2 linked regions of the Neurospora crassa OR74A genome follow. The protein of the gene in region 2 interacts with the protein of the main gene of each other region in a biochemical or structural test. Links are inferred from orthologs where the notes say so. Each region holds a gene or a part of one and is shown on either strand. Other genes may lie near its edges.

Evidence for each region.
Region 1: of the proteins of NCU04615 (region 2) and rrg-2, one has a biochemical effect on the other in vitro, tested with the Saccharomyces cerevisiae proteins (3 studies listed by BioGRID). The link is inferred for Neurospora crassa OR74A from reciprocal best matches to the Saccharomyces cerevisiae genes SLN1 and SKN7.

The regions. Positions count from the first base shown.
Region 1 is NC_026507.1:2,582,056-2,586,546, forward strand, and holds the start of rrg-2 (transcription factor prr1), read right to left. Parts: upstream 2,879-4,491; 5' UTR 2,008-2,878; coding exon 1,948-2,007; intron 1,843-1,947; coding exon 1,826-1,842; intron 1,739-1,825; coding exon 1,666-1,738; intron 1,595-1,665; coding exon 1,454-1,594; intron 1,396-1,453; coding exon 517-1,395; intron 448-516; coding exon 246-447; intron 179-245; coding exon 1-178. UniProt on the Saccharomyces cerevisiae protein: Transcription factor that is part of a SLN1-YPD1-SKN7 two-component regulatory system, which controls gene expression in response to changes in the osmolarity of the extracellular environment.
Region 2 is NC_026505.1:1,486,895-1,491,204, reverse strand, and holds the start of NCU04615 (osmolarity two-component system protein sln1), read right to left. Parts: upstream 2,939-4,310; 5' UTR 2,030-2,938; coding exon 193-2,029; intron 132-192; coding exon 1-131. UniProt on the Saccharomyces cerevisiae protein: Histidine kinase that acts as an osmosensor at the plasma membrane.

The sequences.
Region 1 (4,491 bases), on a different chromosome or scaffold from region 2:
TTGTTGCTGTAAGCTTGTTGGTTCTGGCCCGGCGGTCCTGGGGCACCGACTGTCTGTCCTGTATCATCCGCGTTAAGGCCGCCTTGGAGCGGGTCTTTGAGCATGTATGCCAGATGCTTCCTCAAAACGCGGATCATGCTGTCTTTCGTAAAGGGTTTTGCCAACACATCATTCATACCTTGGAGGAAGGAACGTTAGAACATCGAAAGAAGCAGGCGGGGTGAACTGGGATGGGCCCAACTTACCATACTGAAAGTAGGTCTGGATATCTTCTTGTCGAATATTCGACGTCATAGCAATGATGGGTACTCTTGCCGTCACCATCCTGATCATCGCCGTCGCCGATACGCCATCCAGGTTGGGCATAATAATGTCCATGAAAATGAGGTCGAAGCCCTCATTATTCTCCGGATTGTTGATCTTTTCGACAGCTTCCAGCCCGTCCTTCTGCTACAATGTTAGCGACGGCTGCCTTCGGGTAATTCGAATTCCCAAGGCGAGACACCTAGAACTTACAGCAATATCTACCGAGCATTCGAGTACATGTAGGAATTTGGCACCGATCCTTGCGCATGTCTTGTCATCCTCGACGAGTAGGATACGTGGCCGCTTGTGGCTCCACATGGAGGTGCCTTGATCTTTTGGGGGAGGCGTGATCTGGGCAGAGTCTGCCATCGCATTCGGATTACTCAAGGGACGAGTATAAGGGATGTTGTTGATGTGGTCGGAATGGAATGGATCGATGCCTGTTGTCTGCCCTACCGGATAGACCATGTGTCTAGGGTCGTTGAGGGGGTCATGCAACATGTGCATGGGGCCAGGGCCGCTCTGGGTGAACATGACTGACGAGGTCGCCGATTCCGATGGAGACCCATTTTGATGGTAGGCGACCGATAACCGTTCGAGTTCCCGGTCGGCCTGGGAGTCGGGGGAAACGCCATTGAGTATCTCGCGCGCTCGTCTAAGTTCGGCTGCCGGCTCATCAGCACCGTCTGGTAGTAGCCCAAGGGATCCTGCGTGGAAGGTCGGACCTGAATGACTTGAGTGGCTAGAATGCGCCGAGTGTCTGCTATTCCGTCGACGGTCCTCGATGTTGCTGAGGTGGGTGATCAACTCGTTGGAGACTTGACTCTGGGCCCTGACCATCTTCTGCAAGCTGATGACCTCGTTGACGAGCACTTTGTTCGTCTGCGCCAGCTCGAAATACTGTTCTTGCAACGCCTGGATCTGGTGTTGGGTCGCAGTAAGCGATTCGCTTAGGACGACAATCTGCTGCGACGCGCCAAAGGTATCCTCAGCTTGCGCTGGCTTACGCGGGGCGGGCGCTTTTCTGCGGATATTATCTAGGTTATCTTTCCTATCTGCACGAAACTCGGGATGTCGAAATTCCCATGCCTGGATACGGTCAGTTGAAGGAATCCCCTTTGCAGGACCGATGACTTGGACCACCCACATCTCTTCCGTATGGCGCTTCGCCACTTTCTTCATTGTGCCTCACTTTGTGAAAATCGTATTTGTTCAACTGCCGCACGAAGCTTGCGAAATTGCTGTGCTTGAAGTGTTTGGGTAAGATGGTTTTGGTGAATTTTTCATTCTGTTGATGAGCATGTCAGCAGAAGCAGGGGGGAAGTGTCTTCCCCAAGTGGAATGCCGTTCAGCGCATACCTCTAGAACAACGAAACTGTCACCGTCGGCGCTCCATCGTACTACGGAATTATACGTGGGGTCTTCGAGCATCCTACAAGCTGGTCAGAACGCACTTTTCGCAATTTACAGGCGTGGACTTGGCGCCTCAAGATGGCTTCGGGGGATTTAGGCTTCGTACTTATATAGCTTGCGCACCTAGGTGAGACAAAGTACGGGTTAGCACCCATCTTAGAACTAGCGGTCGCTGGCAGACAGAGAGAGAGGAGAGTGGAAAGGGGAAGGTTTGGAAGAGGAGCTCACAAAGTCGCTGGAGTTATTACCAGCCTGCACAGAGGCCGAGTCACCCTCGGGAGGCGGCATGATTGTTGTGGTTCAGCGTGGGTCGGGACACGAGGTCTAGACAAGCGAATGCCCAAGCAGTCCGATCCGATAACAGCGGCCGATAAGAACTGCGACCGAGAATCAAGAACAGTCCAATTTAGTAGGCACGAGTTTCTCCCAAGCAAGAGCACAGTTTGATGGACTGGTCACGCTCTGCTCCTCTTCTCATCTCCACACGACGTGATGCGGTCTCCTGGTCCGAGCCAACAGTTGTTTCCACTTTTCCCAAGGTCACGTAGCATATGCTCTGGGTCGAGCGTTCAGGTGGTCGAACCGCGGCTGCTTCGCGACGTAATGCACCCAGGCGGCGGGGGACTCAAACGGTTCACGCAGCGGATGAAACAGAAGGCGGTACAGTAGTCGAAAGAGCTATGGCAGACGGCCAAGCCAGGCGTGCTGGAGATGCGATATGGGGGACGGTTGTTGAAGCTCAGCGCGAGAGAACGACCAGACAGGCGATGGGCGTACGGACCATCTCAGGCTGTGACCGGTGTCGCTGGAGGATTCGGGGCTCGACGTCTCAGAGAAGGTCCAGAGGGTTGAACGAGTCGAAAACGGTCGAGACTGTGGTCGAGTTCAGGGTACCGTCTTAAGGCAGAGGATCAGGGACAAGGGACCTTGACCGGCGGATGGACACGGTGCTGGTGGAAAAAAAAAATAAAAAAAAAATGAAAAATGATGGAGGTGCGTTCTTCCGTGGACCCAGTCGATGTTTAGGAATTGGGGGACAGTTATTAGGGGCGAGTGCTTTTTGGCGCCTTGAACCTGTGTTGTCTGGTAGGTATGTACCTAGTTTTGCGAGTTGCGTGCCCCCTCGGTGGATTGGAGGTGACCGAAGCTGGCGCGGACGGGACTGGGGAGTACATATGACTGTCAGGACTGGCAAGCTACGGTATGATTGATCAAGTTCCGGAAAGCAGGCGAAAAACTTGCAGTAGCCAGCGAGAGCGGCAACATCAATTGCCTTGGTGAGCCTAGCAAACCTTGTTCGCTTGGTAGAGGTACGCCAGTACACAGTCTCGACAGTACGCCAGAGACGGTAGGATCGCTGCCGTGGAAACTTGAGACTCGCGAGGTGGAAGAACCGGGGCTGGGTTGTGGTAAGAATGGAACCTCGATGCGGCGCCGGTGGACATAAAGTTCGGACCCCTACCTTTTACTAGTGCTGAAGTGGACGCAAAGTTTGAAACCTACCAGGCGAGGAGGACATCTTGTCTTCCATGTCGGGCAAGTACTATAGTATCTATTTCAAGTTGTACACGCTGCGGAGAAAGTCCCGTGCCAAAACGGAGCTATCTTGACGAATCAGACGACCAAGACGATCGGCCGGGACGTCATCCAAACTCCAATCTTTACCGTTTTGTTTGTCTGGTACCTTCGGTTACGTCCCTTACCAAAGCCAACCGCAAGCGTCAATACATTGGACAACGCCAAAGATACAACCACCTATAAATACATCACAATACATGACATCGGTGGCATGTGAGGAGCCAGAACGGGAGTAAGTTACGTATTTAGGTACTTACGTACAGTCATGTGCGGTTGCGTAAGGCTTGGCTTGACCACGCTGGTATAAGCTTGGGGGCCTTCATGACCGCTTTACCATCTCTCCGACCTGTACATATGGAAAAGAAAACAGAATGCCATTGGACCTGTATATCGGGCTGCACCGCTGGAAGATGAGTAATTCGCTTCGAACACATGCTGTTGATCTCGTTTTAACATCAAATTGTGCTTTTGGCGATAATAGTCCTATTTGCTTCCTTGGTTCACGGGCCCGACAAGATACATGCAGGCAAGCCGGCAAGCAAGGCGAGCCAGCGAGGCCAGACATGCCAGAACACCAACTGCGTAACTGACCCTTACCGACGTCGATCCCACAACAACCTGGTGGCGCGACGATTGAGGAGGGAAGTCTTTCAACAGAAGTCCAACCAGCTATCGTCCGCTCATCAGTACACATAGCCAACCATGACTGAGCTTGGGTGACCCGCAAGCTGCTGGGCTGAAGATCAGGGACAGCTCCCTCACCGTCCTTCATAGAATGGCAATATTTCGAATTTCGGATGGCAAAACTGGTTGTAAAGTCTTCAGTACTGTTATAGCAGAGGAGGCTCCATTGTAGGAGAAGTGTGAGCGGGGTTCGGCCCGTTGATCTTGGAAGGTCCGTGAACATGAGAGACCCGACGTCTGCTGGCGAAATAGCCCCGCAGTCCCCGGAGCAAGACGTTAAAAAAAAAAAAAAAAAAAAAAAAAAAAAAAAAAAAAAAAAAAAAAAAAAAAAAAAAAAAGTGGCAACTTGGTTGAGTTTCCTAATAGTGTCCCAACACTGCAATGCACCCTGTGAGCAAGGCGCAGTAAGTCTTGTGCAAGTATCTCCATCGTGAAACGGCGCCACGTGCACCGTCATGCACAGTATCAAGTCTTGCCAGTTTTTGAATTCGGTCCCAACTTTGCCTTCAG
Region 2 (4,310 bases):
GTCAAAGATAGCCAGCATTTGGGATCTTATCTCACCAAGCCTGAACTCTCTCTCTTCCAGGCTGACTTGTTGACCGATTTGATTTTTGGAGAAACTGAGGAGATCCTCGAGTAAATGCAACAGAAGGTCGCCTATCATCACGGTTAGTTTGATGAAAAGCCGAGGGGATACATAGGGGGCGGGAATGCTTACCAGATTTGTAAATCGTCTTGAGCGACTGCTTGATGCGAAGAACATCGTCTTCCTCCATCAAGACTGCACACATGCCCATGATTCCATTCAAGGGTGTCTTCAATTCGTGGGAAATGTTGGCGATAAACAGCGTCTTGCTTTCGTTGGCAGCTTCGGCGGCCTTCTTGCTGATTTCGAGTTCTCTCGTTCGTTCAGCCACCTTCTCGTCTAACGAAGTATACTGCTTCAGCAGCTCATCCGACATCTCGTTGAAGGTTTGTGTAAGCTCGGTCAGCTCGTCAGTAATGTAATGCTTCCTATCCTCCACCTTGGCGGGAATCTTGAAAGCATGGCGATGCGCATCCTGTGCAGCTGCAGCTCTCAATCTCGCCCTCTTCGACTTGCGCATCCTCCTCTTCAAACTTTTGAGCCAGCTCTTCTCGGACCTTCCCGACGTGGTGCCGCCCGAACTAGGGTTCTCTTCATCATAGTCGGAATCGGACAAATCTTCGTAACCCGGTGGTGCAATCGATTTCTCGGTGGCCTCCTTCAGCCGGCGAATCGGCATAACGCTCAGGTGAGCACACGGAATGGTGAGCAGTAGGACAAGCCCTGCGGTACCAAACACGCAACCCAAGAGTATGTTCCTCAGCGTACGGATCGGTTCCGTCGCCTCTCGCTTGTCCTGTTCTACAATCACCGCCCAGGTAACCAGTGAGGTTTGTGGCCGGGCAGCGCCAATCGCCACCTTCTTGCCCTGCTCATTCTTGGTCGAGATCTTGCTCGTGGCGTTGTTGGTCTGATTGTTTTTCTCCACAAAAAGATCGAGCACCGCCTGGTACGTCGCCGGATCGAAGGGGGCATCATAGGCACCGGACTCGAAGCTGTGGTCGCTGTGGCGGTCTTCTTGGCCGGGTTGGGGGGCAGGCGGTAGGAGGAAGTGAACCTGGTTGGTCCTCGCAAACTCATCACGGGGCGGAGACCATGTTTGGTTGCTGGCAGGCATTTTGGAGTTGAAATGGTTCCACGGGTTGACTGGGCCGATGAACAGAGCAACGCCAGTCTCGCCCAGGCCCTCGTTGGACCTCTGGACCTGGACGAGCTGTCTCGCGCTGGCAATCACAGTCATGTAGCCGAGAATGAACCTGCTAGATTGATTCTCTCGAACAGGAACCGTGATGGAGACAAGCGCGTACGACTCGTTGACCACAAGCGGTCCCAAGAGAATGCCGTTGCCTTCGCTGCCATTGCTCAACGAGACGCCAGGGAATATGTTGGCAGAGAATTGAACGGTGTTGGCCTTGTATGGGCTCGGCAGGTTCTTGTTCTCGTATGTGATGTTTGGGTAGAGCATAGGGGGGAAGCCATAGTCGGGATCGCCGAGTTTGATGTCGGCTCCAGTTGGGGATCTGTAAGGAAGATAGACAGGGTCGTCCAGGGCATCTTGGCCGGTAATGTTGAGAAGGCCACGTGGATCACCGGTGGTATTGCGAGAATACAATCTGGCCTGCAATAGACCCGACACGTTGCTGGTGGAAAGCGCGCTGGCCAGATCCTCGAGAGCCTGCTCCCAGACGTCCGCAGTTTGATTGCCATAGTATTCGTTGGTATAGAAATCCTCAAAGGCTTGCTGAAGCAAGAGTCGTGTGGAGATGGTGGTGCATGCCGTCTGGATCAGATCGATTTCGGAAGAGATGCGAGAGGCCTTGAGAGAGGCAGACAAGGCCAGGCCATCCGTCTTGACGCCAATGACAAAGTTGTTGACAAAGATCCATACGGGGATGGAGACAATGGCGAGGGAGAGGAGGACGGCAAAGATGACAAGGGCCGCAAGCTGCTCTCTAATTGCGATCCTCATTTTGAAGTCGCGTACGAGGGTGAGGAGGGACTACCGAGGGGAAATCGGACGGACCCAAGGCGACACCTGCATTATTGTCGATCTAGTCTGGGGGGGGAAAGGGTCTGGATGCGCTTGCGTGCTTGCTTGGTGTCTTGTGTGTGGTATGTCTTTGGAAAGTTGTAGTTCTTGAATCAAGTTTCTAGAAAGACTGAGTAGACAAGGACAGGCTGGCTTTGTTTGATGCGAGGTACCCTAATCTAACTGGAGGAGGAAATGACCAGCTGGCTAATCGATCCGGGTCTCAGATGGGAGTCGGGGATGGACGAGACAAGCAGGTGTGGCAGGAGGATCCAGATGGCGCCGCGAATCCGTCGTGATACCCGGATGATTAGGTAGGTTAGTCGTCGTCTTGGTAGTAGAAACGACAAGAGGTGAATGGGTAGTGGTAGTGGTGAGAGTAGTGGTAGTAGCAGCGGTAGTAGTAGCGGTAGTGGTAGCGGTAGTGGTAGTGGTGTGGTAGTGTAGCATGTAGGTAAGGTATGTAGGTATAGTCGGGCCTAGACTCCCAAGAGACCTATGCTGCACTGCCGTTGCTGATCCCGTCGTGGTGGCAAGTGGAGGCGAGGCTGGTTGGTGTGTTGTTGTGGTTTGGAATTAAGTGTCCAAGTCGGTGTGTGGCTCACCGGCTCGTCCAAGCCAGCAACAAATCACAAACTGAGAGAGGGGAAAGGAAACGGGATGGAACGAAATCAGGAAAAAAGAAGATGGAAGGGATGGACATGGACACGGGACCGATTCGGACAAGTCGGCCGGCGTGGTTGGGGTGAGTGAGTGAGTGAGATTGCGTTTTCTCTGGGTTCAACAGACAGCCACGGGGAAAGGTTTTGCAAAGGCCAGCGAACGGTAGAGGTAGGTAAGCAGCCCGGGACTGGAGTGATTCCGTCCGTCGCAAGTCGAAAAGATGGAATGGAGATGCTGGCCATTGAGTGGCTGTAGCAGCAAATCTGATCGAGATCTCCAAAGGGAACTGAACGAACCGAACCGGAAGCCCAGAGATGGAAGCTCAGCTTTGTTAAGTTCACTCATTCAGTGTGTCACTGTAACCTCGACTTGTCGTAGCATTGGCTGCTTTGGGACAGGTACTCTCTACACTTTGCGGCACCCGGATGTTCTTTCTGACCAGTCAGCACGGTACATACCCGACGTTCTTGCCGTGTCTGACAACATCGTCTGTGGAGTGTATGGTTGGTAGGTAGTGTATGATTCAATTGTAATGTACAGTACTTCGTTTCCGTATAAGTCGAAAGATACCGAGTTGCGAGTCTACGGTAGCCGTGGGTTGCTTGGTAATACACTACACTATTGTGTGTACGCAGTAGCAAGGTGTATCAGTAACGGCAGAGTGGATAACCTGTCAAGAAAAATAGAATGGACAGCACTACGGTAGAGAAGAAGAACACGGGAAAACCACTGACTCGACACCGACCGAGAAAAAAAAAAGAAAAAGAAAGAAAAAAAGTTGAGATGAATGCAGAGCTCGTCCGATCGATGTGCGTGGCCTTGGCAGATGCACTCAATATTGGCCCCGTCTCGACTGTTCGTTGTGGATTAGCGGGGCCCACTCCCAGCTGCGTAGCGCAATGCTAGTGTCAAATAGCCCAGCACTACCTGGGTTGGCCCCCCAAGCGCACCTGGGAGCTCCCCTGACGGTAAACACATCATCAACCATGGCCGCGGTCTGGAATCACTGCATTCATGCCGTAATGGGAAAGGAGCTGTTGTTGTCATGATGTTTGTTTTTGTTTCTTGATTCCCGTCCTCGATTGATGACGTTATTCCCCCAGAAATCCGTGGTCCATTTCCATTCGAGACCGTCCTAGGTTTTCCTCAGTGGGCTATTCAGTGGCACAATGTTAACACACACCACGGTCCCCCTAGCACGGCACTAACAAGAGACAGCAAAGTCAACAACTAAACACAAAGTCAACGTCGCTTCAGTTCTTAGGTTTCCTTCCTTCCCCAGACCCGACCACCTTTCTCGCCTAAAACGGGAGCCTTAAGCGATGCATCCACTCGGTCTAGGCCCTAGCCTTATCACGGTTAGGTCTCAGTCTTGTCGGTGCAATGTATCCCGCGCCGGCCTCCACTCCACTCACACTGGACCTTTTCTGGTTCGCTCCCGCCCGTCTGCAGTGCCGTCCGTCCAGTGATTACCTAATAACAGGCAATTCATCACCTTGGTCCCGGCTGAATCCCGGATGTGTCGGCGCGATATCTCCGACCTGCTTCCACCCTAACC